Medicago truncatula: one gene and its partners. The protein of the gene in region 2 interacts with the protein of the main gene of each other region in a pairwise test. Links are inferred from orthologs where the notes say so. Each region holds a gene or a part of one and is shown on either strand. Other genes may lie near its edges.

Region 1 (10,889 bases), on a different chromosome or scaffold from region 2:
GCAGAAACAAATGGCATAGGAAATTAGAAACACTTCAATAAGTTCAATGCTTCGGTCTCATCCCAAAACAGTGTTTCCATAAAATTTCATATATGTACCAAGAATAAGTGTATATAAGTTAATCAAGTACCACCTTGTATTTTGTAAGATGGCTTGATTATATGCAGTCCGTTCCTCTTCAAATAGTACATGTTGCAGATCCGTGTATGATGATAGCGGCGAATCAAGGTTGATAAAAGACAACGATGGCAACACATGAAGGGGAATTTCCTTTCTAACATACTCTGCACCACTGCCACCAAATATGTGTTATTTTAAAACCCAAGATGGAGAAACTATCTTGTCAACCTCATAAAAGATTAGACATGGTATACCTGTGAACAATCATAATACAGTGAATACAGAAAATTGCAGTTCTCATTTTTATATTGAAATTCTCTACAGTAATCACTTCCATCTATAATTCAAAGTTTAACTAAGAAGTATGTCAAGAAACATCCACACAATACCTTCCCCTGCACGATTATATTTCTAATGCAAAACTTATAGTGTACTATGTTATCATAGGCATTTCATATATACTTGGTGGAACAGTGGAACTGTTCCAAGGAAAGCTTCATAAGCAAAGACAGCAGAATCATACTAAGGAGCATTCTAGGGAAGCATTTTTAAGACACGTTAAAGATTATGTTCATACATATGACATTACTGTTTACAATAAAATGGATATCAGGGCCCTCCCCTTAATCTTCCTAATTTCAGTCTCTAATGGCAAGTATATTGCAGCTATCCAGACCTTTATCACCAGGTCACCTGGGTTAAGCTTTATATACTAAATAAACAACAGCCACTGTGCTCCCTTTTGTGCAAGGGGACAAGATGAATCCAAATCCAAAAAACACGCCTAAATTGTCAGTTGATAAACAACAAAGTGTTCAAATACATACTCATCTATATTCTGTACCTCATGTCCAAATTTGAGCGGTGCATAGCTTCCTGCATACTTTCTGACATATCCATGGGATCATCAACTGCGATGATGTCTGAATTGTTGAGATGATAGTTTTCTCCATCTTTTACACTCCCTAGATAGTTGGCATCAGCATTAGCGAAGAAATTCCCCAATTCTGAAGATCTCCCCCCACCCTAGGAAAAATTACAATTTAAATTTTGATTACATAAATTAAAAACACACACATAAAACGAATTATCTTTCTCCTAGACAGAAAAATGCAACTATGATTATACTGGTGGGACATCCTTTAGGGACTGAACGCATTTCCATAAGATCAACATCACTGTATCAACAAAAGGATGTATACAAAACCCAGTATAACAGGAAAGAATTTCCCTGATCTTTAAGAACTTCAATCACAAAAATATAGATTGGAAATAAACATTCAAGTCCCACCATGTTCTGAATTCAAATGTAATCTACATTTTTCAAATTGTTGTCTATTCTTCAACCACAAAATTCAACACACGGGGTGTTAAATCTTATTTCATATAAGATAAAGCATACCTTACTAGCACCAGCACTTCTCGAATCACCAGTGTCCTGCTCTGGGCTATCTCCCTTGAAGTAACCAGATCTTGTTGTTAAATTCTCTGAGGAACTTGGTGATGAATCTATATGAATAATGGAGCTTTTATTTACAGGAGACAGAGGTATGGGTCTTGACATGCTATTCTGCTTTCCATCAGATGACTGGAAAGCAATTACTTGAATTTTTCCTATCTGAATACAGTTCAAAGCTATTTGTTGTTAAACTTGATGAGAATAAATACTGCAAGACATCTAACAATTATCATGTGTTTCAGACCAACCTTGTTTGCATCTTCGTTGTAACAAGAAAAAATCAACCCAATAAACCCAGAATCAAGAAGTTGATACATTGCCTGAGTCCGCACATCTACAAAATAGTAAAGATGCTGATTAAATGATTATACTGTTGCTTTGGATAAAACCAAAAAGGAAAAAAGACAAGTCATTTAAAAAAAATCTTTGTTGCAATCCTATCCAATGCGATAACAAGCATGCTGTTAAATGTATGCAAACAGATCACAAACTTTTGAGGAAGGAGAGATGTCATTAGAAGTTTAGAATACGTATATGAATAGTGAGTACTGTTAAATTAAATCTAAAGCCTGCTAGAAAGCCTTTCAACCTAATTCATAGAACTCTCTAGCTAATTTATTGTTCAAACACAATCAAAACTTATATGCTATTGTAAACCCATACATTTTCTATGTCTTACATCAGAAAATGTTATATCCTACCTTAAATACCAAAAGTGGAGTATAAATAGCAGATATAGGAAAATGATAGTTGTACATGCCATGTACGGCATGTGCTCAAGTTGAACCATTCAGAAAGGTTACACTAGAACGCAGGGTATTATTCAGTGATTTGTGGAGAAGTGTCTGAGGTGCATGTGAATAAGTAACTGCATGTAACTATTAAGCATCATACTATCAGTAACAGACATCGATATTTTGTCTGTTTCAATGAAACAATACAGGCAATAGAGAAAAATGTGCAGTCTTCTTATAATTTCTCATGGAAAATAACATTTGCATCAGCCAAATGATGGGAAACCCTCTTTGTCTGGGAGTTAGTTAGAGAGTATGAGATAATAGACTATAAATAATAGGTAGGACGTGCTCGACAGATTTACTTTGGTTTTGGATAGGGTTTTAGAGTGGGAGATAACCTGGATGCTTGAATACATTGAATGTAATGGAATTTGCTATCGATAAAAACTATTTTCATCTAGTATCTATCATTGATCCTCTACAGCAACATATTTGATTCATATGCTCAGTCACACATACTAACCTTCAATTGATGTTGAAGTTGGAACACAACTCAAAGTGCAAAATTTAGAATATCACCATACATAAAAATACTGTTGACTTCAACATCTAGGAACTGTATAACATAAAGGATGATAGAAGCGCACTCCTTTCTCAAATCTAGGCTAGCAATATTCTCTCTGAGAAAAAAAATACTATATAACATCTTCGATTTCATAAATGCAACACATTAGGATTCAGTTCTCCAATCCAAGCACAAACAACTAAAACAATGATACATTCAGTGATAAGCAGAAGATAATATCGAAACAATGGGAAACGGTTTACCCGAAAGTACATACCGACATGTGAAGGCAGGACAGTAATATGAGGATGTGAATGGTACCAGCCTATCACCCTCGTTGTTCTTCCAGTTGTAACAGTCATTTTGTGCTATGAAGTTAAAGACACAATCAAAGCAACAATTGTAGTCCTTAAATCACTAAGAACAGCAAATTATCAAAATTGGACAGCATTGTCAAGCTAAACCAATGCATTAAACACATGGGCCTGTTTGGATTGGCTTATTTCAGTTTACCTACCGGCTTAAGCAGTTGTGAGAACGTTTATGAAATGTTCATAAGTTGTTTTCAGCTTATTTTCATATGCTCTCAAAGATAGCTTATGAAAATAGATTATCATCTATAAATTTCAAATTAAGACTATATTTTATCTTTTGTAATAAAAATAGCTTATACATAAGCACTTATCATCTATAAATTGCAAATCAAGTTGTTTATCCAAACAGGGCCTAAGTGATATGCTCTGCAGCACGACATTTCTAAGTGAAATATGTGCGGCGTCCAACACGTGTCTAACACCGCAGGTGTGATTACATTCAATCATGTCATTTTTCTCAAATTACTACTTGTGTCAACATGCCAGTGTCGTGCCCCCGTGTCTCTGCTTCATAGGTGACATGTGAGGTCAAAATAAACAGTATTGAATTTAAAAATGAGTTTTTTAGATCTATCTTAAATGCAATAACACACAACAAGAGAAAGGATATATCAGCAAGAGCTGAAGCAGCAGCCAACTGTTCAGGGTTAGTTTCAACACGATCTTTTCGTCTATCAGACCTTGTTTGAGGAGATGCACCCCATATCAATGCAGTCACACTCCCATTTTTCGAATGCTGAAAAATCAACAATTTCACAAATTCAATTTAACATTGTGAGACACAAATTGGGGAAAAATCAAAATAAAAATCAAAAATTTGAAAAAATAATCAAGAAGAATTTGGGGATTATTATACTATACCTGGATATCGCCAAGAAGAAGACCCATAATCTCTTCGGTTTCAGTGGAGAATGCATGAGTTGCGCATGTTAACCAAACTTCTTCGGACATTTTCACGCTTGTTAGAGACATTTTCGCCAAAAATTGGTTCAAAATCAAAAACCCTAAAAACCCTATGATGATAATAATCTCATTCTCTTCGATTACGTTCTTTTTCTTTGATGTTTCCCTCTCTCTCTCTCTCTCTCACCTCCTTCTTCAACCTCAACTGTCTAGTCAATAGAACAACGTAATTACTGTTAATCTCTTTCTATCTAGCTATTAATCTTTACCCTAATCTGACTAATTAAACATATCCAGTTAAAATTTAACTCTTGGCGTGTAAATTTTCACCAACAAAAAAATATTCGCTCCGGTCCATGTTATAAGAAAAAAAAAACTAAAACATAATAGTTTGTAACATAGTTTATTTGTGTTATTTTTAAAATAAATTTTATATGAAGATGTAAAAACAATTTTCATTGATAGTTGATTATAGAGAAAATGAAAAAGATAGCAAATTGAATGCACTTTGCATTTAATTTTCCTTTAGAAAAGATAATTTTTTTCAAAAAACATAATTAAATAATAAAAGTTGCTCTTTTTCCTTATAATTTGGGACAAAGAAAATGAGTTTATTTTTTATTTATAATTTAGGACGGAGGGAGTATATTTTTAACTATGTAGATAATGAGATTTGAACCTGACACTCCTCTCATTTATGTTAAGAGATAAATTTATAGTCCTTAAACTACTTGACTAACAAAACACATTAAGAGATAAATTTAAAATCATTAAACTATTTGATAAAAAAAATCGATGGTTTTGCCATGTAAATAAATATATATTTTTTAGACAAAAATAAATGATATTTATTGATTCAAATTGATAGAATACATTGATACATTGCAAATTCGCTAAAAACAAAAGGGATGAATCTGCGAACAAACTCATAGCATCCATGTTAATAGCTTAAAACGGCAAAGTACAAAAGTCCACACATATGACTATATTCAAGTCTCCGGAATACCAATGTCTCTGAATCTGCAACGTGAACGACCAAAGTCATTAGATTTGCCCCTAGATCAAATCTGATGTGTGACAATCTAAATCGAACAAATATCTGAACGAAACAAATAAGACAAACAACGCCGTACGAAGACGACGAACAAACAAACGTCGCACTAAGATGACAAAATTAAAAAAAAAAAAAATAGATGTGAAAATCACTTATTTCGATAAAAGAGAAAGATAAAAACGAGTTAGATAAGTGATTTTGGGTCAAAAATTGACTCTAAGTCACCCATCTTTGATGGATGAAAGAGAAAAAATTAAAGTTTTGGTGACGGCTCACAATTGGTAACGGCTCACAAGAGAGAAAAGGAAAAAGAGAGAGAATTTTATTTTATGTAAATAAATATCCATTTAGTTTTCATTATATATATATACCTTTAGTTTATAGAAAATAAATAAATAAATATTCTCTTTTACTTGTTTGGAAAAAACATTTTCTTTTACTTCAATCTTCGTCAAAAAATTTGTATTTGGTGTTGTTTAGCCACGATATCTTAAAGTGACTCATTTATACCTTTTTGTTTTAATAGTGTAAATTTAAAGAAATTATATTTGATCTCACGGTTCACCTCACATATTAACTCAAAAAAATTGGTTAATTAGAGTTATTGCTCGGGGAAAGGTATACAATTTTGATAGTTTGGATAATTTTGGATGGAACATTAAGGAGTTCCTTGATAGTAAGTGTTCGACTGATATGGTACATATAAGATAATGATTATTATATCCTACCTTATTGAGAGCTTTCAATTGCAATGCACTATTCAACAAAGAGAAAATCATGTTCATCTCTATCATCAAATCAACTTACCACTTAAGTTCTAGGAAAAATCTTGGTTTCAAAGATTTACAGAGATGATCTTATGAGCTAGTTAGAAATAAGAAGGGGAGTTCTCAATCACCTCGTTCTTAAACATATGCTACAATGTAACGAGACAAAAAGAAAAAGAAGAAAAAGGGAGAGTCGAAATTAAGTTTCAAGCTTATCTCTCAGGATTAGAGATTTCATACCAGACGGAGGATAGTTCCAGCGAACAGAGCAACTTGCATGTGATCCTTCCTTAACCATAAAATCTGCACACATATTTTGTTCCCTAAGAACATGCACCAATGTTGTATTTTCATTTTCATGTAAAACATCTCTAATATGAAGGATGTTAGTAGCATAAGTGTGCAAGGTATGATCACGACCATCAATAATTGAGTCATCTGCTTCCAAACAATCACTCTCACAAATAATGTTGACATAGCCTTTTTTACTACAAAAATCAAGACATATCTGAATAACACATAACTCTGCTAATAACGTATCACATACAACTTCATAGTGAGAAAAACCAGCTACCTAATCTCCATCGTGGTTGCGAACAACGCCACCATCACCTAAACAATCAAAATCTTCTAGAAAGCTACCATCAATATCGAGTTTGAGTCTACCTTTCGGAGGGGTATCCAATGAGCAAAGAGACGCGATAAGTGTTGATCCAAACCAATATTGAGATAGTAAAAAATACATTCATCATAAAATAAAAATGTCTTTCGCACCACATCTTAAATGTGTCAATGTTAATCCTAAAAAGTAATATTGTTTCTCTAACAAACAAAAATAGAGGAAATACCTTTTATACCCTAAACCAGAAGAGAGAGATATAAACACCTTAGTTCGAAGTTGTCTGCGTTGTGAAACATTCCTCACATCAGAAGTGCTTCCATGGCAACCATTCTTTTCAAGGGAATCGCTGCTCGTTCTCTCACTACACGTGTAAGCTTTCCATTCCTAAAATCAAACCCTAATTTTCTTCTTCTTTTTTCTGCAACTTCGTTTCTTTTTTTACCTTTTACCTGTTTATAATCATAAAGTTCCATGCTTTTTCCATTTTTCGGTAATGGGTATCCTTTGTTTTCTTCATTTTCCTCTTATAATTTCTCACCTTGCAATTTTTATTTATCAGATTGAAATGGGTCGTTCAATAATTCTAGTTTGAATTTGAATCCTGAAATTGTTTTGCTATCGTATGAGATCAATAAGCTATTACTTTTCAAATCATGAAATCTTGAAAAGCCTTTTTAGACCCTGTTTGGATGAACGGGTTAATTTACAGCTTTTAGCATAAGCGCATATTATAAGTTATTTCCATAACAAAATATAAAATAAAGTTAAACTGTTTTTGTATAAGCTATAAATTGTTTTTATAAGCTATAATTATGTAAGTTTGATCATGGCTATAAGTGAGTTAAATGTAAAGTGATTTATGTTTGGATATGTTTATGTAAAAGTGAGTTGAACAATAAATTTGAGTGTTAAAATCAATTTTAGAATCAAAAGCTCCAAATTTTAGCTTCAAGTTAGAATCAATTCTTCTAGAGGCAAAATCAATTTTCCTGGAGGGCAACCAAACATGTCAAAATTAATTCAACACCTTTAGAATCAATTTTGGCTCCTCTAAAAAATGAAACCGAACATACATACATAAATTGCCACTCACATTTGGTTCCTCAAAAAGTAAATATTGCCACTGAATTTTAGCCCTTTTTCTTTTTAAATTTACTATTATCTCATTCATGTTCTACTAAGGCAATGGTTGGGTAAACAGCTTAATTTGCAGCTTATAGCATAGGCACTTATCATATATAAGCACTTAATGTAAGCTATTTCCGTAGCAAAAGATAAAATAAAGTCAAACTGTTTTTGTACAAGCCATAAGCTGTCTTCATAAGTTATCCTGGAGATCTTGTGGAAATAAGCTGAAAACAGGTTATGAACATGTCATAAGCTGTTTTCACATGTTCCCCCAGACAGTCTCAAGTGATTATGTCTGTAGATAAGCTCAAATCAGTCAATTCAAACAGGCCCTAAGATTAACTTTTGGAGTTTTGCATTGTCACTCTTTATGATTTTAACTATTTTAGTGTTATGATTTAAATGGCTAGAGTTTGTTTGTTCGTTAAAATGTGAATTGTGTTTTCTGTATGTAATGGTGTTGGTTTTCTTTTAACATGTTTGCAGCTAACTAGTTCCAGTTATTATGGAATGAGATACACAACTAAGGTGTCTAATGATACCGACACACACGATGACTTCAAACCAACTAATAAAGTTGAGAATTCTGGAACTTCTTTGTCAAGTATTATTGAGCAGGTGAATTTTATATCAGTTGAATCTGTACATGAGAATTCTATGAAGGGTTTATTGTTTTGATGGTATAAGTAATTTGTGACTTGTTAATAATGTACAGGATGTCAAGGATAATCCTGTTATGATTTACATGAAGGGTGTACCTGATTTCCCACAGTGTGGATTTAGTTCTCTTGCAGTTAAAGTTTTAAAACAATATGGTAAGTAAATGATAATTTTCATGCTTCATCCTTGCTACCTGAGAAATTATATCCTCTGAATCTGAACTAGTTTTTTCATGGTAGAGCTGTTACATTTTCATGTATTCTGAAATTTTGTGCTTATGTGATTTGAAAGTGTAGACTCAGAGTGGAGGAGATAGTGTTACTTACATTTCTACAAACATTATGGTGATTAATTTGTTGAATGTAGCTGATGGGTTTATTGACTAGATGGGGAGAATTAGAAATAACGACGTTAGATAGAGTTGGGGGTAACCCCTATAGTAGAAAAGATGGTAGAAACTAGACATAGGTGGTTTCGGCATGTAGAGAGAAGACTTGTGGATTCTGTAATAAGGAGTATAGATGAGATGGAGGGGAGTCAGATCACTAGAGGTAGGGGTAGACCTAGAAAAACTATATGAGAAACTATTAAGAAGGATCTAGAGATAAATGAGTTGGAGAAAAACATGGTTTTTGATAGAACACTATGGCGTTGTTTAATTCATGTAGCCGACCCCACTTAGTGGGATAAGGCTTGGTTGTTGTTGTTGTTCTTGTTGTTGTAGCTGATGTCATGGTAGCTACTGTGTTTCTGTAATTTCATGTTTTGGTTTAATTATGTTGAATGGATAAAAATGTCACCCTTGCCTTTTGATTTTATCCTCTTCAACGGAAAAGGAAACTAAAACAATTTTAAAGGGTTAGTACATAGGTGGCTGGCCTGCAATTTAATTATAATGATCTATATCATAACCTGCGCGAACTTATATAGGATGCGGCCTTTAAGTTTCAAATGTGTTCTTCCAATTGTTTAATTTACTTATAGCCTACAGAAATTTACTGTGAATATGACTTAGCTTTACTGGATGATGAATGGACGATTTTATATGTTGCAATTTTTCATATTTGTTGCTTTTGCAGATGTTCCTTTAAGTGCTAGGAACATTTTGCAGGATCCTGAAGTGAAAGATGCTGTAAAAGCCTTCAGGTAAGTTTGTTCATGCTGGTTATATTACTCTAGCTTCTTGTAATGCTCTTACAACTAGTATTAGTGATATGTGATATGAAACATAAAAATATTAATTTCCAACTGCATTGTTTAAATCCAAATATATTAATGAAAATCAGATTATTATGATTATAAATCTGAAAACTTGTAAGTAATCGTTGTGCTATGACTGCTGTCTAAACGTTGAAATCTTCCATTTACGAATATCAATTGTGTTAGAATTTTGATACCCTTTAATGGCTATGGAATTCAATGGACGAGTGTCATGTCAATAATCTGAAGATCATAAACATCAGTTTGAAGATCAAGTACTGTGTGAAGTTACAGTTTTATATTTGGACAGAAAACTTTTTACGGTTGATTTCAACATATCTAGTTGCGGGTTATTAATTTGTTATTTATTACTACCTCCGTCCCTAATGATAAGACCCTTTTGAGAAAATTTTTTGTCCCTTTTTATAAGACTCATTTGCTATTTCCAATTACATTAATTATTTCTTTACATACATGCCTTTATTTAGGCCAAATACCTCCCTAGGTCCTTTAAGTTTCACATTTGTTTCAGATAGGTCCTTTATGTTTCGAGTTTGTTTCGGATATGTCCTTTAAGTTTCTAAAGTTTCAGATAGGTCCTTTAAGTTTCGAGTTTGTTTCAAATAGGTCTTTTCTATCAAATCAACTTTGGCTTAACGGAGGTTGATAGAAAGGACCTATCTGAAACAAACTAGAAACTTAAAGACATATCTGAAACCTTAAAAACTTAAAGGACTTATCTGAAACCTTAGAAACTTAAAGGATCTATCTGAAAAAAACATGAAATTTAAAGGACCCGGGAAGGTATTTGGCCCTCTATTTATTATACATCTTTTTCTTCAATCAACAATATATAGTATCTTGAAAACATAAACTAACTCTCTTTCTTAAAAGATAAATTTGTAAAAACAATAGTGTTTACAAACAACTTTAATACAAATATACACTATCTTAATTCCCGTGATTTTGGCAAAAGGGTCTTATATATAGGGACGGAGGTAGTATATCCTTGTATGCTATTGATATATGTACATGCATATGACAACTTATATAAAATTATTTTGAATATCTTTTATTTTCTTTGCATTTAAAGTGGTATGGTTGTGTCACAGTGTTGTCTTATATTATTTGATTTTCAAATATGGTAGTACGAGAAGTGCTGGTGCTGCCAAATATAATTTACTTTTCCCTTTTAATAGCTTAATAATTTACATATTAGGCAAATATACATTTCTTATGTTTCTCCCATGTTCTTTCACTGCAGTCACTGGCCAACATTTCCACAAGTTTTCATTAAGGG
Region 2 (10,569 bases):
TCTCTTAGGCCTAACTTTGTCCTTCTTGATCCCAAAATTGAGATAGTGCTATAAACAAGCCTCCAACACCCATCCACCTTCCAGTAATAGAAACATAACATGATTATGAAAGTTTGTGTATGACAATTAATATAGTTTAAAAAAATGTGATTTAGGCCTCGACATCAACTTTTTTATGTCTTTGCGGCCATAACACAGCCTCTTATGACACCACATCAACCACATTTAACTCGAACTCTCCATAATATCAAGAATCGCGGCATGACTGTACCGTGTCGATTTTAAAACCTTGACATGAAGTTACCTTCTCTAGTTCTAGTGTTGGTTCTGGAGTTGGATTTTGAGATTCTAGCTGCTTCACCAAAGTTTCAATTTCTAACTTCTTGCCGGATGGAATTCCAAATATCCCTCTGTTGATTCCTTCAAACACATTTGTTTACCCATTTCAAACAAATTACTCTTTCCACTTTGTTAACTAGTGTTAACAATAGCTCAGAATAACAAATAATAAGAATAATTGAAGATGCTACCTTCCAGAGCCTGGTAAAGCTCTCTTTTCTTCTGTCCAAGTGCTTCATCTTCAACTAAGCCATAGCCAGAAGATTGTTCTGCAACTTTAATGATAGTAATGGGTCTAAACCATAATGGCTTCTCACCAAATCTTGAAGTCTTTATCCATGAACGATTACTAACCGGTCCAAATCTTTGAAGTTTCATGATGTTCATGGTTCTACAAACCAGAGGAGAATCATTCATTGATGGATGCACTAGCTTAGTTATCATAATAACATTCAAGCTTAAATACAGAATAATGAAACAGGGTAGAGGATCATGGTGGTGACACCTCGCACGTTGTTCTTTCAAGTTTTCTGATAAAAGGGTGACTCAAAATTTTGATGACAGTGGAACTGTGTACATATTTGTTGTCTTTATTTGATTTTTTCTAATCAAGGTTTTTGGATAGGTCTTATCGAGACATGTGGTTAAAATTCATAGAATATATGAGGTCCATGAGATAGACACTGTACGTGTTGGTCTCTTACTTATTGACCTCAAAAGCCAAATGTTCCTATAGTATGCACAAATTGAGTACAATAAAAATAGTTGACGGCACTTGAAGTGGTTTCAACCATTCCTTCTATTCAGCGTACAAAAGTAATGACACGGTCATAAGATTTATGAATCAATTGTTTTCACAAGTGACGAGGAGGACTATAAAGCTTCTTAGTTCAGATGTGAAGAAAACAGTAGATTTTTAAGGCACCATTGAATCTTGTGTGTGGTGAGAAAAGGACACAATTGTCAGTGTAAAAGATGTGTGCATATTTGGACCTCTGGTAAATTTGACAAAATCACGGTGTGCTACCGTAACTTTAGCTAATATACACTTTGAAGGTTCAGCAAAACCACAATGCCTTCAGTTTACCAACTCACTGTCATGATATATCAGGACATAGCGAAAATCACCTAAAGGTTGAAACATAATACTCATCAATAACGCCATCCAAATGAACTAGCAAGGTTAAAAATTCAGACTGAAAACAAAACCCTCAGAAGAAAAATGAAAAGGACACCCACATATTCAAGTCAACAAGTTAAGTCCACATGAAGAATGAACTTGGAAAGAATTAAAATTTAGGAAAAATAGAAATTGATTGATCCATTCGGATTCAGACATGCAAGAAACCTTCATAAGTCATGCATTCTTAGCTTTTTACTTTGCCTTCATTTCTTCCAACTTTCATCTCTATTGAGCATGCTTACATGTATTCTAGTAAGCAATACCCAAGAAAGTATAAAAAGAACAATCATCATAAAATTACCCTACTGAAAGTCAGGGACTTTGTCAACTAAAATTTAGCAGTGCAACATAAAATTTGAGTGGCAGCAAATAATACATAGAACTATGATCCACAAATACTGCCAGCAATATATTGTAAGGGTTTTTTATTTATAAATATTATATGCTCTAGGCCGCAGGATTTGATTGGTTGGACTCTTGCTGTTTTTTCCACTGCTCTGGAGTTACAGCTTTCTTTACAGAGAGTGCATGAATCTCTTTCATTTCCTCCTCTAAGGCAGCATTCACCATTCGATGCCTTTCCAATAGCCTTTTTCCTTCAAATTGTTCTGAAACAATCTCAACTGCAAAACTTGAACCACACCTAATAATACCAACATGGAATTATAAGATTGTAAGATATAAGCGACAAGTATACGGTGGTAGAAAAAAGCTGATAAAAAATGTGTTGGATGGAAAACAAAACTTACCCGCCAGATATATCAGTTACTTCCTGAAACAAAAACAAACATAAGAAATTCAAAAGGAAAAGGAGAAGGTCATTGTCAAATACAAATGGAAGGTTCACATTTTCAAGTTGGTGCAGTAGTATAGTTTGTTCCTCATAACTCATGAACTCATATAAACTGTAAAACTGATAAATTGAAGGTTGATCATTTTCCCTTTCATAGGATGAAGTTCCATTTTTAACATATTTCACTAAGGATACTCTACACTGCATGTAATGTCGAGTCAAAAGTAAAGAGGAATCAGAGGATGTGCATTTTCAATGTACATGTATTTTGAAGCTGATTGTGTGATGTGGAAAAATGGTGGTCTCTCATTGGATGTCAGTGTAAAATTGTGGGCTGCCAGTGTGTAACCATTAAACTCAGGTAAAAATACTGATCATGTTAATAATCAGACCAGAGCAGTGTGAAAACTTCAAGAGTCAGACACTAATTTTACAGTCTCTTGATCAAAAGAAATTCCAAAATTGTAATATAGACTCCAGATAGCCATAGCTAACAACTATTAGGGTCCTTGAACTTGCATGAATATTGAATAAAATTACAACAACTTTCCTAAAAGTGTCTTTCGCTAGTCAATTCGGTCCTCGTTAGTTTGGTCATTGAATGTATTTTTCGTTAATTAGGCTGTCCATGAAACTACTAACCGAAACACACTAAATAATGTTTTTGAAGTTTCGATACATTTGGGAACAATTAGGGATTTTTTTGGATCTCCAATGCTAAGAGGCATGAAGCATGACAAAGGAATTGCACATTCCAATATAATAATTAGGGCTAAGGATGGAAAATAATAATATATACAAAATAAAATAAAAATGGTGTGTTGAAATTAAGCCATGTTTATTAGTGAAACGAGCGTAAATCAAAGGAAAGGAACGAAACTGGAAAAGAGAAACTTACAAGATGGGAAGGGTTGAGTTTGGAGTTCAAAGATGATTCGACTTGTTCCTTTGTCACACCCATTTCTATTTCTCTCTTGTGAGGTTTGCCCTTTCTGCTGTTCTTCAATTTCTCGTGTAAACCCTTTTGTGAAAGATATTCGCTTCTTAACTTGCCGTTGCTCACACGCGGATAGATAAAAGAAAAATAAGGCTTAATATATCATTTTCCTTAACTTATTTTCTTTTTTCATTTTAGTCTCGTAACAATTAAACGTCTCAATTTGATCCTATAAATCTTATGCAGTTTATTATTTTGATCATCTCCATTAGTTTTTAGTTTAAGCTGAATCATATTAAAGGTGGTCCATCATAGACTTTATAAATTCATTTAATTTAAACCCTTTAATATTTTTTTAAAAAGAGAACCGTTAGATTATATAGGTCTGTTGTATCTTACGGTGAACCATCAACACATAATTTTTTTCTTATTTCTACTTCTTCTTCCTTCATCACATTCATACTTTCTTGGTCAATCTTAATATAACCCAGAAAAAAATAACAACCACAACACATAATATCATCGTCAAAATCAAACACAGAAAACAAACAACAACCCTTCAAATTCAGAATCAAACCCAGAAAACAAACAACAACAACCCTTCTTAGAGAAACAAAACCAAATCATTCACATCAAAACTGTCAAATTCTGATTCAGTTCTTCTGCATTCGGATTCAATTCATTCACATCAAAATGAAATCATAATGAAAATGAGAGAAAGAGAGTAAGTGTTGTTGTATTGCCTATGGGTTTGTGATTTTAGTTCTTCTGCATCTGGGTTTTGTATAAAAATAATTTCAATAACTCAGCTTCAAACGCAATCCCATTCCGTATAAAGAAAACAAAAATAACCAACAGTTAAATCTATAAAATCCCTATAAATCTCATCGCACAAGAAAGGAGGTAGCGAGCCTTTAATTTCACCGTTTATATTAGGAAGAAGTGATGTTGTATAAACTGTGGAAGAAAGAAATGAATATATGTCTCAAATTGGAGAAGATTAATTTAATGGTAGAAGAAATGAATCACGAAGAAGTGAATCTATGGATTGCTGTGTTTTATTTTTAGTTTTTTTATTTTATTATTATTAATGGGATCTAACTAAAATTGAGATTTTAGTGAATAACGAAGAATCAATCAATTCTTATTTTTTATGTTTTTGTTTGTTCAATTTTTTTGGGTTTATATGAACTTAATAATTAAGATGACGAAGATCAAGAGGAGTAAGAGGGAAGGAGAAGAAGAAGAAGAAAAGGAAAAAAAAAATCAGATGTTGGTAGTTCACTATTATATACAATGGATCTGCAATCGGATGGTTGAAGTCATATCAACATTATTAGACATTAAAAAATTAACGGAGATGATTAAAATAGGTAACAGCGTAATATATAGAGGTCCAAATTGAGACGTTTAATAGTTAGGGAACCAAAATGAAAAACGAAAATAAGTTAAGGGATCAACTGATGTATTAAGCCGAAAAATAATTATCCTATTTTGTTATTCACTTCTTTTCATCATTTTTTTTAACATGAGTTTATTTTATTTTAACTAATATTTTTTAAAGAATTGTATTTTTTTTTTAGAAATTTGAATGTAAATAAGTAGGGTATATGCGATTTAAACCATGTCCCTTTTTTTTTTTTTTTTGGTCAGGTAGCCTAGTGCCTAGAAATTCACTTTTAAAGTGAATAAGTGGGGTGTCTGGGGTTCGAACCCCGGCCCCTGCATATAATAATGCATTGTCCCTGCCAACTGAGTTATGCTCACGGGGACAACCATGTCCCTTTCTATTGCAATATATTGTCACTATCAATTAAGTTAATTTTTTTAAAAGAATTGTTTTCTTCAAAAAAAAAAAGTTACACGCTACTGATCTAAAACTTATTTGCGCACACAATTAATATCATTTCACATAGAATTTTATGGAGATGGTTTTTTTATAAGAAAAAAAAATTACGAAATTAAATGAGACAAACTATTACATCTTACATCATCTTCTGGTAGAAGTTTCAAAGTCGAACGAAAAACATTGCAAACATAAATATAATTAAAATACAATGAAGAATGTATGAGATTTGTCAACAGATCAACACATTGTTTAGCCTCGCAATGCACTTGACAAACTGAAGTTCTCCATATAGGACGGTGGATAAGAGAGATCACCTCATGGAGAAGAGAATTTTGAGATGAACCTGAAGTAACCATATTAACCATGATCATAGAATCCATTTCAAAAATGGTGTTTCTAATATTCAATTGACTCGTCATATCTATTCCAGTGTATTTAAAGGCCCCAAAAGTTATGCCCACGAGGCAGATAAAGTGACAATTATGTTGTCGAAACCACGTATATTCCTACCATGTCAATATCTAATCAAACCTCCACGACTAGATATTCATGTTGACTTTTTATGATATTCACCAATATTAAACTTATAATGATCGTCTGGTAGAGATGACCAAAAGACCTTGACATTGTGTCTCGATGGATGAGAATGAAATTAGACATTAGAATTTAGAATTGATAGAGAAAATAGTGAAATTAGCATAGTTGGTTATTTGACATAGAACTTGGTTACCAATCAAAGATTTCCCATTGAACATTAGGCTATTTCTATCTTTCCAAAGCTCATAAACGTCAACTCCAAAGAACATTTGGCGATTGTTATGTATTGTGTCAATATTAAGAGTTTTGATATTCTAGTCGAGCCATTGAAACAATCCAAGACTAAAGAAATTGCTCCAAACATATTGAGAAACTAGACCATTCCACAACATGTTTGCTTCTACGCAATCTCTTAAGACATATATAATTGTCTCTTGATAGTCACCATATATAATACAAAGATTGTCTCTAGTCATACTTATATGATACCTTTCATCATTAGTTAGAATTTTACCATGAAAGATATTAAGGTTTGTTGAGAAGAAGTGATGTTTACCATGTATGATAGAATACGGTGATTTGAGAGAGAAATCTCCATCTCTGGTAAGGTTTCTTCAAAGAAAGACAGATTTTTCATTAAAGGGAGGCTTGATAACTGTAATTTTCTCATAAATTTATTGAGGAAGAAGTTGATTGAGCAATTCCCAGTTCCATCGGCCATCAAAAACATAATGAGAGACAGAAAACTCCATATGGACAACGGAAAAACCATTGGAGGCGATATTTTGCAAAGGGCCATAATCTCAAATCCAAACATATTTTCAAAACCAAACACGATGACCATTCTTAATATACCTAGTTATGTTTCTAGAGACATCCTTCTAAACACTAACAATAACCCTCCAAGTAAAAGTAGAAATAGATGAATTATTATTTACTGTCGAAAATCTAAGATCATCGCAAGAGTATTTAGCACTATCATGACCCAAAATTTATATGGACAAATAATTAAATGTCAAATCAATTTCATTATATAAATCAAATTCAATCATTGAATTTTTCTTAAACCGCCCCCTCATGTGGGAGGCGAACTTGTTCTCATGATGAGATGTGTTGCAACAAAAAATCTGCAATAATGTGAAGAGTTATCAAAAAATGAAAAACATTGATTAAAAGATGAATCACTAATTTTCATTTTCTATTTTTTCCACTTCCATTTAAAAAAAAAATAAAAAAAATACTTGGCACGCTTACAAATCCCAAAATTCGAAAACTTTAAACCTCTAACAACCGCGTAACAAACTCACACGATTACAAAATCTCTCTAACAGTTTCACTCCCCCGCGCGCGCGTATATAAGTACTTCACTCTGCATTTCATCCTCGTTCCATTCATTTTCCCTCTCTCAGAATTGAAATCAAATCTTCAATCACTGCTTCTTCTACTTTTTCTCAAACAACCATGGAAAGCTCTTCAACCTTTTCTTCTCTTCGATTCTCGATGCTCTTCGCAATCTTCTTCACCGTCATGCTTTCCGGTGACAAGGTCACCGCCACTGAAGGTTTCGAACCTTCAATCCCACCGCTACCTCCACATGATCTTCAAGAACATTCGTTCTTCTCTCACACCACATTACTTCCACCGATCTTGTCTCATCTCGGATTTCACGAGCTTGCAACCGCCGCTCCGTCGCTCTCCGATGCCGCAACCACCGCTTCCTCTGCTTGGACCGGTCCTTCTACCATTTTCGCTCCCTCCGATGCTTCGCTTCGCACTTGCTTTTCTTGCTCTGTTCCGAATCTCCTCCGTGAACACATCGTTCCAGGTTTATTCACTATCGAGTATTTGCGTACGCTTCCTTTTGGCACCAAGATCGAGACGCTCAGTCCAGGCCGTTGCATAACCGTCACTTCCGATTCGATTCATTCGAACATTACTACCGGCGGTGCTCCAAAAGTTTTCATCGGAGGCGTTGAGATTGCTCAACCGGATCTATTCAACAACGGAATGGTTGTTGTTCACGGCCTTCAAGGTTTCGTCTCTACACTTTCTCCGTTTTCTTGTGACGTTGAGAGAATGACTTCACTCTCCTTTCCGTTTCATCCTGATCACCGTTCCAGTGCTCACGTTCACACTCACGGCGTCACCGTGCTCCCTGCTATAATGCGCCTCATGCTACGAGATGCAATGCTCAGGCTCCGTAATAACGGTTTCAGCATCCTCTCCCTTGCGATGAAGGTAAAATACGCAGAGCTCATAACTCTCAACAACATGACTATTTTCGCCGTTGATGATCTTTCTATATTCTCCGGTTCTCAATCGTACATCAGCAATGTGCGATTCCATATCATACCGAATTATTACTTGTCGATCGCCGATCTTGAGAAGCTTCCAGTTGGAACTGCTCTGCCTACATTGGAGCGAGGTCAGCCGCTTCTGATCACTACTTCCGGCGGAGGAGTGACATCAGCGCCGATGAGGATTAACTATGTGAGAGTTAAGGTTGCTGACGTCATCCGCAATGTGAAGATAGTTGTGCACAGTGTGTATTTGCCTTTTCCGCATATCAATCCTATTGCGGCTGCTTATGATACTATATTAGGAGGTGAAGGAGCGTCGGAAGGAGCAGGTGTTGGAGCCGGAGCATCAACTTTATTAGATTCTCCAGGTCAGGCGACGGAAGAAACCTGCTCTGCTCTTGATGGACGTGGTGGTTGTGCTGCTGGTGTCACTACTACAGCAGGTGTGTCTCCCATGCCTCAGGTCAAGCCAATGGTTGAGATTGAAGATCACCATGGCCTGTGAGTGCGATGCTTCGATGATGATGAAGATTGCGGTTTAGTTCTTTCTCTGCTGAAGTGAATCTCTATGAAATTTGTAGTTAATAAGTTTACAGTTACACTGTTGTTCATGTACTAAAGTGAAACTCTGAATTTGTAGTTAACTCGCATTGTTGTTTAGTTTGTGGCTTTGTGCTGCGCTTCTTTCTCCGTTGAAGTGAAACTTTGAATTTGTAGTTAATTCACATTGTTATCAAAGGCTTTGTGGCTTTGTTGTTTTATTAGTTCTTTAATAAACCGTTTGTTGATTTAGTCTTTACAGTTTTCTTGAGATTATCTTGGTGTTTCCATGCATGGTTTCTGCTTTGGTGTCAACTATAATGAGAGCACATTGTCATTCTTGTTGGGTTTAATTAAATGATTTAGTAACTGGTCCAATTGAACAATCCATTTGAAATTTATTTACAACAGTGAAATAAAATTATCAGAGGAAGTCATGGTTGTTGGATCAAAGAAAGGTACCTAATAAACATCTTAAAGCACTTACAGAAATAGAGAGAGTAAAGAGAAAGTGAGAGGGAAAGAGATGGATTGGTTAATGTTTTCGCCTCATGCTGACAAAATTCAGAAATTAGGCAACATTTGCGATAAAGATGATTTTGAGCTATGGCGTACGCTATATCAAAGTCTCACTGCTGGAATTTTCATATCTCTTTCGGCATGAGATCCACATGCTGGAATTGACATGTTGACCATGACCACTACTCGTCTACACCATGATTCTGATGAAGCAGGAGACATGCGCCGACTCATTGCATGAGTTAAGGCTTGAACAGCACTGGCTGGGCAATTAGAATGTTCTAGAGACATGGATTTAATCGCATATGAATCCCACGGATTGATTGACAGAAGTGAAAGAGCACAAGTAAAAAAATCTTGTTTAAAATGTAATGAAATCTTCTACACCTGCAATAGTTAAAAAAATTCAGCACAAAAAATGTGGCAATAGATGTGAAATAACCTGGATTGATACTCTTGGTTGCAAGGACTTTGGATGTAAAATGGACATTGAAATCAACAGAAAGCATAGTGACAGTACTTGTTGTGCATGTTTTGCCAGGCTAAATATGTAGCAGTCTTTGAATTAGCAAATGGACTCATCTGTTGCTTTCCATCTGCAGAACCGAAATATATTAGAAGACAGAAGAGAATAGTAAAATTTGCATAATCGCGAAATGAATGACTTGCAATTAACTATAACAAAACAACCAAAAGTGGATCTTCTTTGGTCTAACTTTTGACTAACAACAAAATGTCAAGTTGTATTTTTACTAAATCAGGTTTTAAAGATGGCATACTCGTAAAAATCTAGTTAGTAAAGACTTCGGCTTAGGAACATCATAATCACACTCAAGTCCAAACAATCATGATAATTATTTGTATCATGCTGTAATTCTTTAAAAACTTAATTAGTCTCTTAAACGTGCCTATAACTCTATCCAGTATCCATCATTCCATCCCACAACTCTAATAGCAACATCCCTTCTGACAATAATAAATTATCAAAATTAATAACTAAAACATAGACTAAATAACATGACTATTACTTTGCATGGTTCTTATGAAATTGTCACAGCTAGAACTCTTGAACACGCTTAACTTATTCATGTTACAGAAGATTAAGCCTCTTTACCATCAAAACGTGTGACAGTTAAAAATCCAATAAGTTCCATGAAATAAAATAAAAGTTGAGCAGAACATACAAGGGGTTCAAAAGACAGGAAATTGTAGCAAGTTAAGTTCTGCCACATCACATTTAATGTTCATTGTAACTTGCAAGGAGCAAAGAAATGTGATGTTAAGCATGTCAAGTTAAGAAGTTCAGCCACATCACGCTTAATGGTCTTATATTTCTACATTTCATTTTTTCAGCTTTAACAACCAATAATAGATAACAAGCAGAAACTGTGATGAACTGCAAAACTAAAAACAAAAGTATTACCAAACTGTTATTTCCAAATGAAAGAGAAAGGACGAAAATTGTTGCTGCACTAGAGAAATGTGAAATCAAAGAGTGGGAGCATTTTTTTGTTCATGCATCGATGCCAGTTAATTTCAGTTCTGTGATTAATCAAAGAGTGGATGAATGTG
Region 3 (11,114 bases), on a different chromosome or scaffold from region 2:
TTACAGACTTTTCAACAATATTGTCTTTGACTGTTATTTTGTTCATTTATATTAAAAAAAAAGAAAAAAAAAGTGAGGTACAATAGCACATAATGTATATACTAACACAACATGGAATGATATTGTAATGTTTCAAAGTATGATGTTTTTGTTTTATTAACCTCTCACTAATTAATAACTTCAACAGGGGTTTAAGAAAATATCATCTAAAAGATGGGAATTCCAACATGAGAAATTTCAAAAGGGTTGCAGGCACATGTTGGTTGAAATCAGTAGGAAAAAGTGTGAGCCAAGCGTGTTTCCTCAATACCTCAAGTCTTGTTCAGAGGAAAATGCAATGACTAATAATTCATCAGTTGAAGAAGACAATAACAATCATGAACTACTCATGGAGGAGAACAAGAACCTAAAGAAGGAGAGATTAGAGTTGCAAATGCAAATAGCTGAATGCAAGGCACTTGAAATGAAGTTGTTGGAGTGTCTCTCTCAGTATATGGATAACCGCCAAAATAAAGTTAGGAGACTATGTTAATTCATATTACTATTTATCATATCACATCAAGTTATTAAAATAGAGAAGTAAAATGTACATGTTTGTCATCATTGAATAATAATAAAAATGCACGTATGTTTTACCTTTCTTGGTTTGGTCAAAATCTGAATAGGGATAAATATTGGTAAGATTCATGATTGATTATCATAATTTAAACAACATTGACCATCAACAACAACCTTTCTAAGCTTCTTAAAAAAAAAAAAAAAAAACCTTTTTAAAAGAGGTCAATGTGTAGTTTAATCGAGTTTGAATTTTGTTGTCAATGTGAGAACCTCGATGATTGATAATATATAAATATTTATTATTGCTCTATCAAAACCTTGAAGCTTTTCCTGACCCTAGTAAGCTTCTGAGACACAAATTGCCTGAACTTTTCGTTTATTAAAAACAACCTATCTAAATTTTTGAAAGGGTAAATACAATTTCACTAAAAAAAATAAATAAATTGTAGAGCTATTTAACAAATTGTTCAAAGCTTTGAGAATAAATGCACGATCACAATTACGCTTTGAAATTTCAGCACAAGAAAATCAGAGCATCTGTTTGAAAAATGAAATGAGGTTTTGTAATCTACATGGAAGATGGGGTTCCAAAGGCTACATTTTGTAATCTGATAATAGAATTAGCACGGTTCTTACACTATATTTGGAATTCACGTTCAGTATTTCATATTTACCACAAAGTCAGGAATCTAGCATTTCAATTTCCCCCCAGGTTGACAAACTATGGTACTCAACTCATGAATCAGTTTAGCCAGCTATATAGAGAAGCAGAAGGGGAAAACAAGTTCAGACTTTTAATAAAATAAAATAGCCTCATATCAAACAATATATAGAGTAACCACGCAGAACATTACAATGTCAAAAACAAAGCCTCATGGCACCAAAATTAACAACACCCTCAGCTATAGTGGCTTATAAGATACAATCCCAATTATTCTAAGAATTAACAATAATCCTACTCAGATAAAGTTGACTTCAGCTCTCCATTATTTCGCAGCTCCATAATGATATCGCAACCGCCTATCAGCTCACCTTTGTAGTAAAGCTGAGGAAAAGTAGGCCAGTTTGAGAATACCTTAATTCCCTGTCTTACCTCATCATCACTCAATATATCAAAGTGACCAAAATCCACCACACCCTCCTCTCGGAGGGCATTTACAACTCTGGAACTAAAACCACATCTTGGAGCATCAGGGGTACCCTTCATGAAGAGCATCACAGGGGAAGAGGCAATCAATTTCTTCAAACGATCTTCAATGGTCTCTTTTGGAAGAACCCCTTTCTCATGTAAAGTTTTCTGAAGTTCCCCACTTTTTTGCATCTCCAACACAATGTCTGATCCACCAATAAGCTCCCCCTTGATATATAGTTGAGGATAACTGGACCAGTTTGAATAAACCTTGAGTCCTTGACGGACTTCTTCATCAGTAAGAATGTCAAAACTCTCAAACGGAACATTTTCTTGTCGGAGAATTTCAACTACCTTCCTGCTGAAACCACACTTAGGTTCATCTGGTTTTCCCTTCATAAACAGCATAACTGAGCCTGAATTGACCAAGCCATCCAGCCGAGAGGCTAAATTTGTACTCAAATCCGTAGATTTAGAGATGCCACCCTTGGTGTTTCCTGAATCTGTTATATTTGTTTCATCAACGGTATCAATTCCGTGATCTTTGAAAACATCCTTTAACTCCCCACTCTCATGCATAGCAATTGCTATGTCACACCCACCAACAAGTTCTCCTTTGCAGTAAAGCTGAGGAAATGTGGGCCAATTGGAAAACTTCTTCAAGCCCTCACGAACCTCTGAATCCGAGAGGATATCAAAACTTCCAAACTTAACCTTCTCTTCCTTCAAAATATCAACAACTTTTCTGCTAAATCCACATTTTGGCTCTTCAGGACTCCCTTTCATGAAAAGCAGGACAGGATGAGAGTCAACGAGCTCCTGCAATCGCTTTTTCAGATGACTACTAAGCCCTGGTTGAACTTTACTTTTTTCGTTTGAAGATAAATTGTCTTGCGCTAATTCTTTCACTGTTTCAAGAACGGCGGATCCTGCGGCCATCCCAAGACTAGCAGGAGAAGCGGCATCTCCAGAGTTAATTGAGCCTGCTACTTTTGAAACCTTGTTGGCTAAACTTGATGGATCAGCTCCCTCCAATGTGTCAACGGTCTTGCCATCCTGACAGATAATAACTACTAATCAACTGATAAATCAAACAAAGATAACAAATTGAGTTTTCAATCCCATATTCACAGTATGAATATCACCAGAGCATTATGATTGCAATATAAAAAAAGATAACTCTTTTGGGTACATGGCGAAATTTGTATTGTAAATAAATAATAATATCAAAACCAAGTCTTAATTAAAAATCTGCAAAAGCAAAGATAAATAATAGTATCAAAACCAAGTCTTAATTAAAAATCTGCAAAAGCAAAGATACACAACAAATAGCTCTGATAAGTTAGAAATTCAATTTCATCTAATGTTAACATGCAATTGTTCGTCACTGAAGGGTTACACTCTTGGTACGGTAACCAAGACAGAAAGTCAGTGTGGATAAATTTCCCAGCGAATACTTGTGGACTAATAAATATTAAAAACAATATACGGAAACTATAAGACTTTTCAAACAATAGCTTTTATATAAGTTCAAAATATAAGTATTATTTGTAGGTGAGGAGGCATGTTCAAGGTGACAGTCCTCCCCCTAATCACATGTAATTTAACCAACAAAAACAAAACACCAACCAGACACAGCACAAACAAATCTATATTCCATTGTTTAATTGGATTATCACTACAACAGAACCATAGTCATCGACTCATTGACGGTATAACATTAAAATGAACCTAATAAGCAGAGTTGGCAAGAAAATATGAAATGAACATGAGAAGAAAGCAAAGTACTGCATTTTCCTGACCAAGAAGCCAGGGAGGCCTCAGAACCACAACCACTGAAATATTGAAATAAACTTGTTTAAATTGGATTATTTTAGCTTATCTAGTAACATAAGCACATGTGAGCCTATCTGGGAGAGCTTACGGAAACGGTTTATGACATGTCCATAAACTAAGGGCACTTTAAGAAGCTAAAAATGGAAATAAGTGATAAATTCAAGGTAAAAAAAGTCAATTTCTAGAGTTTAGAGGTATTAAATGCACTATTTCCAAGATAAAGTTTCTTTTTTGGACTTCTTATCAAGTGCCCTTGTTAGCATTTCCCTTTTTTATTTTCTTTATTGAAAACTCAATATTGGCCCATGGACTTGGTGTCCATAAGCTATCTTTAGCTTACTTTCATAAGCTCTTTAGGATAGTGTATGAAAACAACTTATAGCTTATACGACATCAGTTTGACAGTATTTAACCCTGTCATAAAAGATATCTGGCCCATGGACTTGGTGTCCATAAGCTATTTTTAGCTTACTTTCATAAGCTCTTTAGGATAGTGTATGAAAACAACTTATAGCTTATACGACATCAGTTTGACAGTATTTAACCCTGTCATAAAATTAGCTTATACATAAACACATATATCATAAGCGCAATTAAATTGTATTAGCTTATACATAAACACATATATCATAAGCGCAATTAAGTTGTTTATTCAAATAGGGTCTAATCCACTCTGCCACAAAACAGCAACAGCAAGAACAACAACAGCATATAGTGCAACTTAAACAAAGCCGAAAAACCAATTACCTAACAATGAACAAAGTTTTGGCCAAAAACAATACTATAGAATTCTCAGATAAAAAAGAGTTTTCAAATTGCAGTTACTTTACCTTGAAGAAGACAAAAAAAGGAACAGCAGAGACAGAATAAGCCTCAGATATCTCTGGTTGTTCTTCAGCTTCAACCTAAAAAAAGTAAAAAATTGATTTTGATTGATAAATATAAAGCAAGAAGATGAAAAATAAAAAGGGATAATTGGGAAAGAAAACCGAACCCTTAAGAAATGGGTATGAGGGAAATCAATGGCCAAATGAGAGAAGAGTTGGTCCATGTGTTTGGAAGCTTCACACCATGACGCCCAGAAGTGAAGCACCGCCGGAGAACCGCCGCGAACCACCTCATCCAACTCCGACTTTGACTTCACGTCTCGCACCGAACCACCCATTCTCTCTCTCGATGATGATGTTGATCGATCACTTTTACAAACCCTAATTCTCTTTATATAAGTAAAAGGCTTAAATATGTTTATCCTTCCAATTGAGCTCGTTTAAAAATTGGTCATGTATTGCTAATCATTACAAACTGGTCTTGCAATCATTAATCATTTAAAATTTTGTCTTTGACCAACTTAATCACTGTCACGTCACTAATTCGAAGACGTGGCAAACACTACCACACATTAAATTCCAATTTTACCCTTAAGAAGCGGACAAAATATTGAAGAAAGAATTGAAAATCCAGGGGTAAAATTGGAATTTCATGTATGGCAGTGATTGCCACGTCATCAAATTAATGACATGGCAGTGATTAAGTGGGGAGAGATACGAAATTTTAAATGATTAAACAATGCAAGGGTAAATTGTTAGAATTAACGATTACAAGGATTAATTTTTAAACGACCCCTAATTGCAATGATAAAATACATATTTAAGCCTAACCAAAATAAAAGCTTTAACCTTTAATTTTTCCTCTAAAAAAAATTATTATTTTTTCCAAAGCTATATATGCATATTCAATATTTTTTGAGGCAATATATTTTTTTAGTAAAGATTATTTTTTTTTTTTTGAGGGATAGTAAAGAATCTTACGTCCACAAATTCTAAGCTAATATGGCAAAAATAAATATAAAAAATGTTAGGTCAAGCATTGTGATTGGGGTTTAAATTCCGACTTCTCCATTTATGTTTGTTTATAATAGTTATTGTCATTTTGTATTGAGAGTATAATTATGTCGGTATAGATACTACATTATAAATTGATGCAGTGGTTGAAGTTTGAACCCTTAAACTCTCCACTTATGCATTTTATAATGAAATTTTAGTCATTAAGTTACTGAAGAAAAAAAAAGATTATGAAAAAAAGTTAAAAAAATTCTTGAATTTTTTTTAAAACATTAAACTATACTTGATACAAAATTTATAAGATTATCTTTTTATATTTGAATTCTTAACTGAAGAAACTCGTGTGATAACAGTCAGTCATTCGTTATTTTTAGTCTTTATATGATATTTTTGAGTTCACAAGCAAGATTAAGCAACAAGAAAAACTGAAGAAGGGGATCGTGTCACGATTACTGAAAAACGTGTCATGATTTGGAGCTTTCAAAAATGCATTCAACGATGGCAAAAACGTGTCACGATGGCAAAAACGTGACACGATTAAGGAAACCCTAATTTGGGTGGTTTGTTACACAAGATGAAACGTGTCACGATTTACTTAAATTGTGCCACGATTTTAGGAGCAGTTCTTGCCTATTTAAGCTGAAGACTATTCTGAAAACAATGGTTACGGTTTGGAGAGAGCAAAGTGCGATTTTGAGACTACAAGACGGTTAGAAGGGCGATTTATTCACTCTTTTACTAGTTCATGTATGTATTGATCCCTCTAATGATTATGTTATTTGTAAACACCATTATGAGTAGCTAAATTCATTAGAGGTTATGTCTGAGATGATTCTTTGTAACCCTGATTGAAACATGTTGATGTGAAACTCTATTTATTGTGAATGATAATCTAGTTTTTATTCAATTCAATTGTTCTTAATGCTTTTTATATCCTGATTAAATATAAACATGATTTAGTAAGAACGAATGACTACTGACCCTAGCTTTCGAATTAGACCTAATTGAATTGTTCTAATAAACATCGTTAGTCTAGGAATGGATAATCCTTTATTAGTGATATTAGGTTAACGTGCTTAAACCTTGAACGGTTATTAGACCACCTAAGGAATTAGGGGCTGTAACCCTAGAAGAGGGTCCTAACTCAAGGGATTGATTATGACTATTTTGTTAACTATCGTGGAACGGACTATTTTGTTAACTAACGTGGAACTAGTGAATCATTCATAAGAATAGGTGTAGTATACCAATTAGGGGAATATAGATGATTCGAAAGACCTAAACTCATCTCTCTCTTAATCTTAAAACCAATCTTTATTTTCTGTCATTACTTTTATGCAAACAAACCAATCAACTGCCTAGGGCAAACAAAATAATTTATACATCCTAAATATTCACTTTATTGCTAAATTGAGATTAACACAGTCCTCGTGGATACGAATTTATTTTATTACTTGGATACATTTTTAGTACACTTGCTAAAATATCTATCAAGTTTTTGGCGCCGCTGCCGGGAACTGTTGAGTCATTTCAATTTGGCAATTTTGTTTTTATTTAAGATTTCTGTCATTTATATTTTTAGAGTCAATCTTTTTATATTTGAATTCTTAACATGTGCATAAGGATACATTTTTTTATCGGAGAAAAGACATGTGTCTTTCTATCCGTTTTTCTGTTGCGTTTAGTTGTATATAGATCAAAAACTTATGTAAAAAAAAAAAATAGTGTCAATGAGAAATATCATTTCCCAACATTCTCCCTTATGCCTATATAAGGAGAGCCCCCTTACAATTTAAAGTAAGTTTATTCCATCGTTCAAACCTTTCAACCTCTTTGTTTCCCATTGACTTAGGCATCAGGGCGCTTGTGCAAGTACAACGCCCTCTGTCTCATCGACAATGTGGCATTTCCATTGATTCTGCAAGATCTTCGAGAACGAAGCACGTTCTTCCACATATCCGTGGTCAATGTGAGATTCTTTATCTTCCTGAAGATAATCTTGTTACTTAACATAATAGCTTTTAAATAGTTTAAATGAAAGATAAAGTTAAAATGAAAATGTCAACTCACAATCATGTATCTTATTTATATATAAGTAATTGTAGATAAAATTGGATATTCATTTTAAACTAATTTTAGGTTAGAGAGAGGGAGTGATAGAGATGGAGATAAAAAGAGAGGAAATCTAACAAAGGAATAAAAAAAAAGAAAATATAGTTTATTCTGAATAGGATCAAACATTTTTTTTTTTTATGGGCATTCAATCAAATTAAGATGATGTATAAAAATTAAAATTAAAATTAAAATGTTAAGGAGTGTTTTTAAAACATTGGTTAAGTAGATGAAAATAGAAATATTGTATTGGAAAATGGTGAAAAGTGATGAATTTGACTTTTTAAAAGTTAAAACATATTTTTTTATCGAAATTAACGATTTCATTATGTCACAAAGATGAATTTTTTACAAGGTTTTATTTATTTATTTATTTATTTTTGTTAGGTAGTACAGTGACTAGAATTCACTTTTTTTTAAGGTGAATAAGTGGGGTATCCGGGATTCGAACCCGAAGGTTTTATTTATTTTCCATCCCAACTATCAGGATTTCTCCAAAAAGGAAAAATTACAAACACACATGAAACGAAAAACACAGGACAATGTTTTTCTGTTACAATAATTTTTATTTATTTATGAACAAAGGATATCTGTATTTACAATGCAGCCAGTAACTAATTACTAGCAAAGAATATTTAAAAAATAAAGGTAGAAAGAGATTGATTAGTTCATGCTTCAAATTTCACTAAACACCTTAGCTATCCTCTCAGTATGCACCAAAGGCAGGTACGCTTAGGCCTTACGTTCCTTCTCTACGGCACCAATAACCGCTGCATTGTACTTCTCCTTGCAATACACGGCCTTTGGCGCAACTGCATTGTCCACTCGATGGAACATCGGAGACTGTTTCACCTTCTGCCATGCCGAAGCCACAGTCTGCTCTGCCACGGGCTCGCACTTGGAGTAAAGCCTCACCGCTGTTTCCGAGACAGTGGCTACGTTGGCAACGGGAGCCCTGTGTCCGGTGCAGTGGTGGTTTTGATTGGTACCGGTGTGGCGGAGGATCTCATCGGGAACAAGGTGGAACTTATCATGGACAGGCCCCACCACGCTCTTGACAGTTTCTTCAACGGTCTTGATGCCCGGCTTGAGCTCATTGGAGCACTCCTTGGCGTATCCGTAGACGGCGTTGAACCTCATGAGGAATTATTAGTTGTTCTTCCTTGTTCTTTTCACCCTGCAAAAAAGAGAAGAAAAGAAAGTAATTGAAATAATAAAGGAGATCAAAGAAATTGAATGGGTATATATATGAGGAAAGAGGAGAACAAACGTACCGGAGGTGATTGTGAATGAGAGAATCTGATGTATCATATTTTTAGAAGAGTAATAGTGGGAATCTGATTTGGGTTATTAATAGGAAGGGTGAAGCTAATGAGTAGGCAAAAACAACGGCCCTATTCTCTGTTATGATCTCTCTCTAAGCTAAAAGTTTGGCAAATGCGTAAAAAATGTTCCATAAAAAGTATCAACAAAACAAAGGACAAATGAAACGCAAACTACAATTTAGAGTAAAATTCAAAAAATTAAAACTGCTAAATTTAACAAACTTTCATGTAATTATACCACCAAATGTGTTTACGTATGTATATACATCCAAAATTAGTCACTTGGTTGGTCCTGTAAAGAATAAGCAAGCAGAAAAACACCCTCGCCAAAAGCAGGTCCAAGCTGCTGTTGCCTTATTGAAATTGGGGACGAGGGTTCTCTCACTTAACACGTGCAATGGTACAGCCATAATTCATTGGACTTTCTGGTTCAAAATGAGTGACACGAGGATGCTTTTGCAGAATAGCAAGCGCACGATCTTTAACAGCCCCAGTCCCCATCCCATGTATTACAAAGAGAACCGAATATGGCTGACTTGCGTTGATTGCCATCTCAAGATGGATTGCAGCTTCTTCCAGTCGCATACCTCGTAGATCCACAGTATTCTTAGATGTTTGCACCACTGGACCATAATAACTATCATCATTGCCGCCGTTCATCTCTAAGTTACCCCGGGATTTTCCATTCAGTGGTTTCTACAATAGTAAATCAACAGTGTACAAACTCAGCAGTTTGATATAGATCAATAACTGTCATCCTTCAATTCATTAGCGTACAGAAAATTCTACAATAACATTGTCTATGCGGACAAAAAAAATGTCAACAGAAATAATGCCAGGGTCTGAAATTAGTTTCTAAGTTATAAGCAAAATGCGCAAACATTCAAAGACAAAACAGATGGGCAGGTGCGAATTTTTTGTCTAAATCAAATTAGGTTAAGAAGCCTATTTTAAAAAGGAGACAGATTAATTTTATAGAAAATTCAATTCAACGTGCTTATATTATAGGATGATCCGAGGTTCCAATTTCCAAACATGATGTTTGGAACCTGGTATTTATTACAGAAAAACAGGAGAAAGCTACCCAAATTACATGATAGAACAATGAGGATCTACAACTCCACATGCCCCAATTCTTACTAAAATAACAAATACTCTCCCTCTCAACCCCTCTAGCTATTTACATTCCCCCTCCGCTATTGGATATATACAAAAAAAATCTAAGTTTGGGGCTCCAAAATATATCAATTCTAAATTAATTTTACCATAGCTTCAAAAAAATGCCAGATTAAATATAAAATACTTTTCAAGTAATTTGGATTTCATTTTCCAATAACTTCTTTTATTTATATGAAACAAGTTTCCACGAAGAATATTTTAGATAATACAATTATATTTTTTATTACACAAAAAAGTTAAATGTGATTTTATTATAGTATTCTCAACTACCGCGTACTACTTTTTTTTCTTCTTATATTTGAAGCTAGAGGGAGTAACCTTCCTCTCTAACTGTCTTATCCCAATCGTTCCCAACTCACTCAATAAGATTACTGCTTGCAAAATAACTTTCTTAATGGAAAAGTATACCACTCAGTTTTCTTCATTGACAGGTTAACTATATCGATTGATTAGATTATTTATATGACAGCAAAGATTTCTTTCTACATACCTGCCTTCCCTGATGAGTGGCAGAACTAGTTACAGGATTCTTTGCACTTGGTGGAATAGCTCTGATGCGATTTTTCTTCACACGTACTTTCACTTTACCATACTGTACCAAGATTGTTTCATCATCCCCAAGCAATTCTACCACTGTGGCTAATTTTCCTCCCAATCCCTTCACACGGACTTGCTCTCCAAATTGTGGAGTATAGGATGTAGTGCGATCGGCGTCATTGATGGGAAAACCAACAGCAGGAGTATGAGCTTTTACAATGGAGGCAATCGCAGTTTCAGATTCTTTAATTATTGAATTAAGTTGGTTGCGTCCCAAATCTTTTAGTTGCTTTTCGAATTTCTGTATTACAATTTCCATTTGAGATTTTGCATCCTCTAACTCTTGTTGGACCTGTTGAGCTTCCTTTGCCATAAGCATCGTTTCACGTCTATCAAGGTCTTCTGCCTCCCCTTGGATCTTTGCAAAAGAAGAAAAAGAAAAAAGTGAGAGAGACAGAGAGAGGGCCAATAAAGTGCAAAGCATTGAGCAACAGCAAATATGATGACATCCGATTACAGACTGCAGGCAAATGCTCTACAATTCTTACGCTGAACCATTTTTCCCACAAATGACGGCATTATGAAAATTTTGGATGG

The links.
Region 1: the proteins of protein BOLA2 (region 2) and monothiol glutaredoxin-S15, mitochondrial interact in a two-hybrid assay, tested with the Arabidopsis thaliana proteins (2 studies listed by BioGRID). The link is inferred for Medicago truncatula from reciprocal best matches to the Arabidopsis thaliana genes AT5G09830 and GRX4.
Region 3: the proteins of protein BOLA2 (region 2) and monothiol glutaredoxin-S17 interact in a two-hybrid assay, tested with the Arabidopsis thaliana proteins (2 studies listed by BioGRID). The link is inferred for Medicago truncatula from reciprocal best matches to the Arabidopsis thaliana genes AT5G09830 and GRXS17.

Annotation. Positions count from the first base shown.
Region 1 is NC_053043.1:50,696,074-50,706,962, reverse strand, and holds the start of monothiol glutaredoxin-S15, mitochondrial, read left to right. Parts: upstream 1-6,824; 5' UTR 6,825-6,919; coding exon 6,920-6,970; intron 6,971-8,215; coding exon 8,216-8,347; intron 8,348-8,444; coding exon 8,445-8,544; intron 8,545-9,468; coding exon 9,469-9,535; intron 9,536-10,853; coding exon 10,854-10,889. Other genes in the region: lys-63-specific deubiquitinase BRCC36, read right to left, coding at 134-292, 965-1,146, 1,523-1,738, 1,828-1,913, 3,159-3,246, 3,866-3,991, 4,117-4,227.
Region 2 is NC_053049.1:42,947,451-42,958,019, forward strand, and holds protein BOLA2, read right to left. Parts: upstream 3,383-10,569; 5' UTR 3,277-3,382; coding exon 3,214-3,276; intron 2,295-3,213; coding exon 2,272-2,294; intron 2,166-2,271; coding exon 1,970-2,165; 3' UTR 1,624-1,969; downstream 1-1,623. Other genes in the region: fibrillin protein 5 homolog, read right to left, coding at 1-77, 305-420, 531-783. UniProt on the Arabidopsis thaliana protein: May act either alone or in interaction with glutaredoxin as a redox-regulated transcriptional regulator, or as a factor regulating Fe-S cluster biogenesis. The GRXS17-BOLA2 heterodimer binds a labile, oxygen sensitive iron-sulfur cluster.
Region 3 is NC_053045.1:43,446,612-43,457,725, forward strand, and holds monothiol glutaredoxin-S17, read right to left. Parts: upstream 4,734-11,114; 5' UTR 4,689-4,733; coding exon 4,518-4,688; intron 4,429-4,517; coding exon 4,354-4,428; intron 2,744-4,353; coding exon 1,514-2,743; 3' UTR 1,333-1,513; downstream 1-1,332. Other genes in the region: heat stress transcription factor B-2a, read left to right, coding at 188-532; stress-related protein, read right to left, coding at 8,209-8,616; endonuclease MutS2, read right to left, coding at 9,183-9,497, 10,471-10,935. UniProt on the Arabidopsis thaliana protein: May only reduce GSH-thiol disulfides, but not protein disulfides. Participates probably to the maturation of iron-sulfur proteins and to the regulation of the redox state of the BOLA proteins.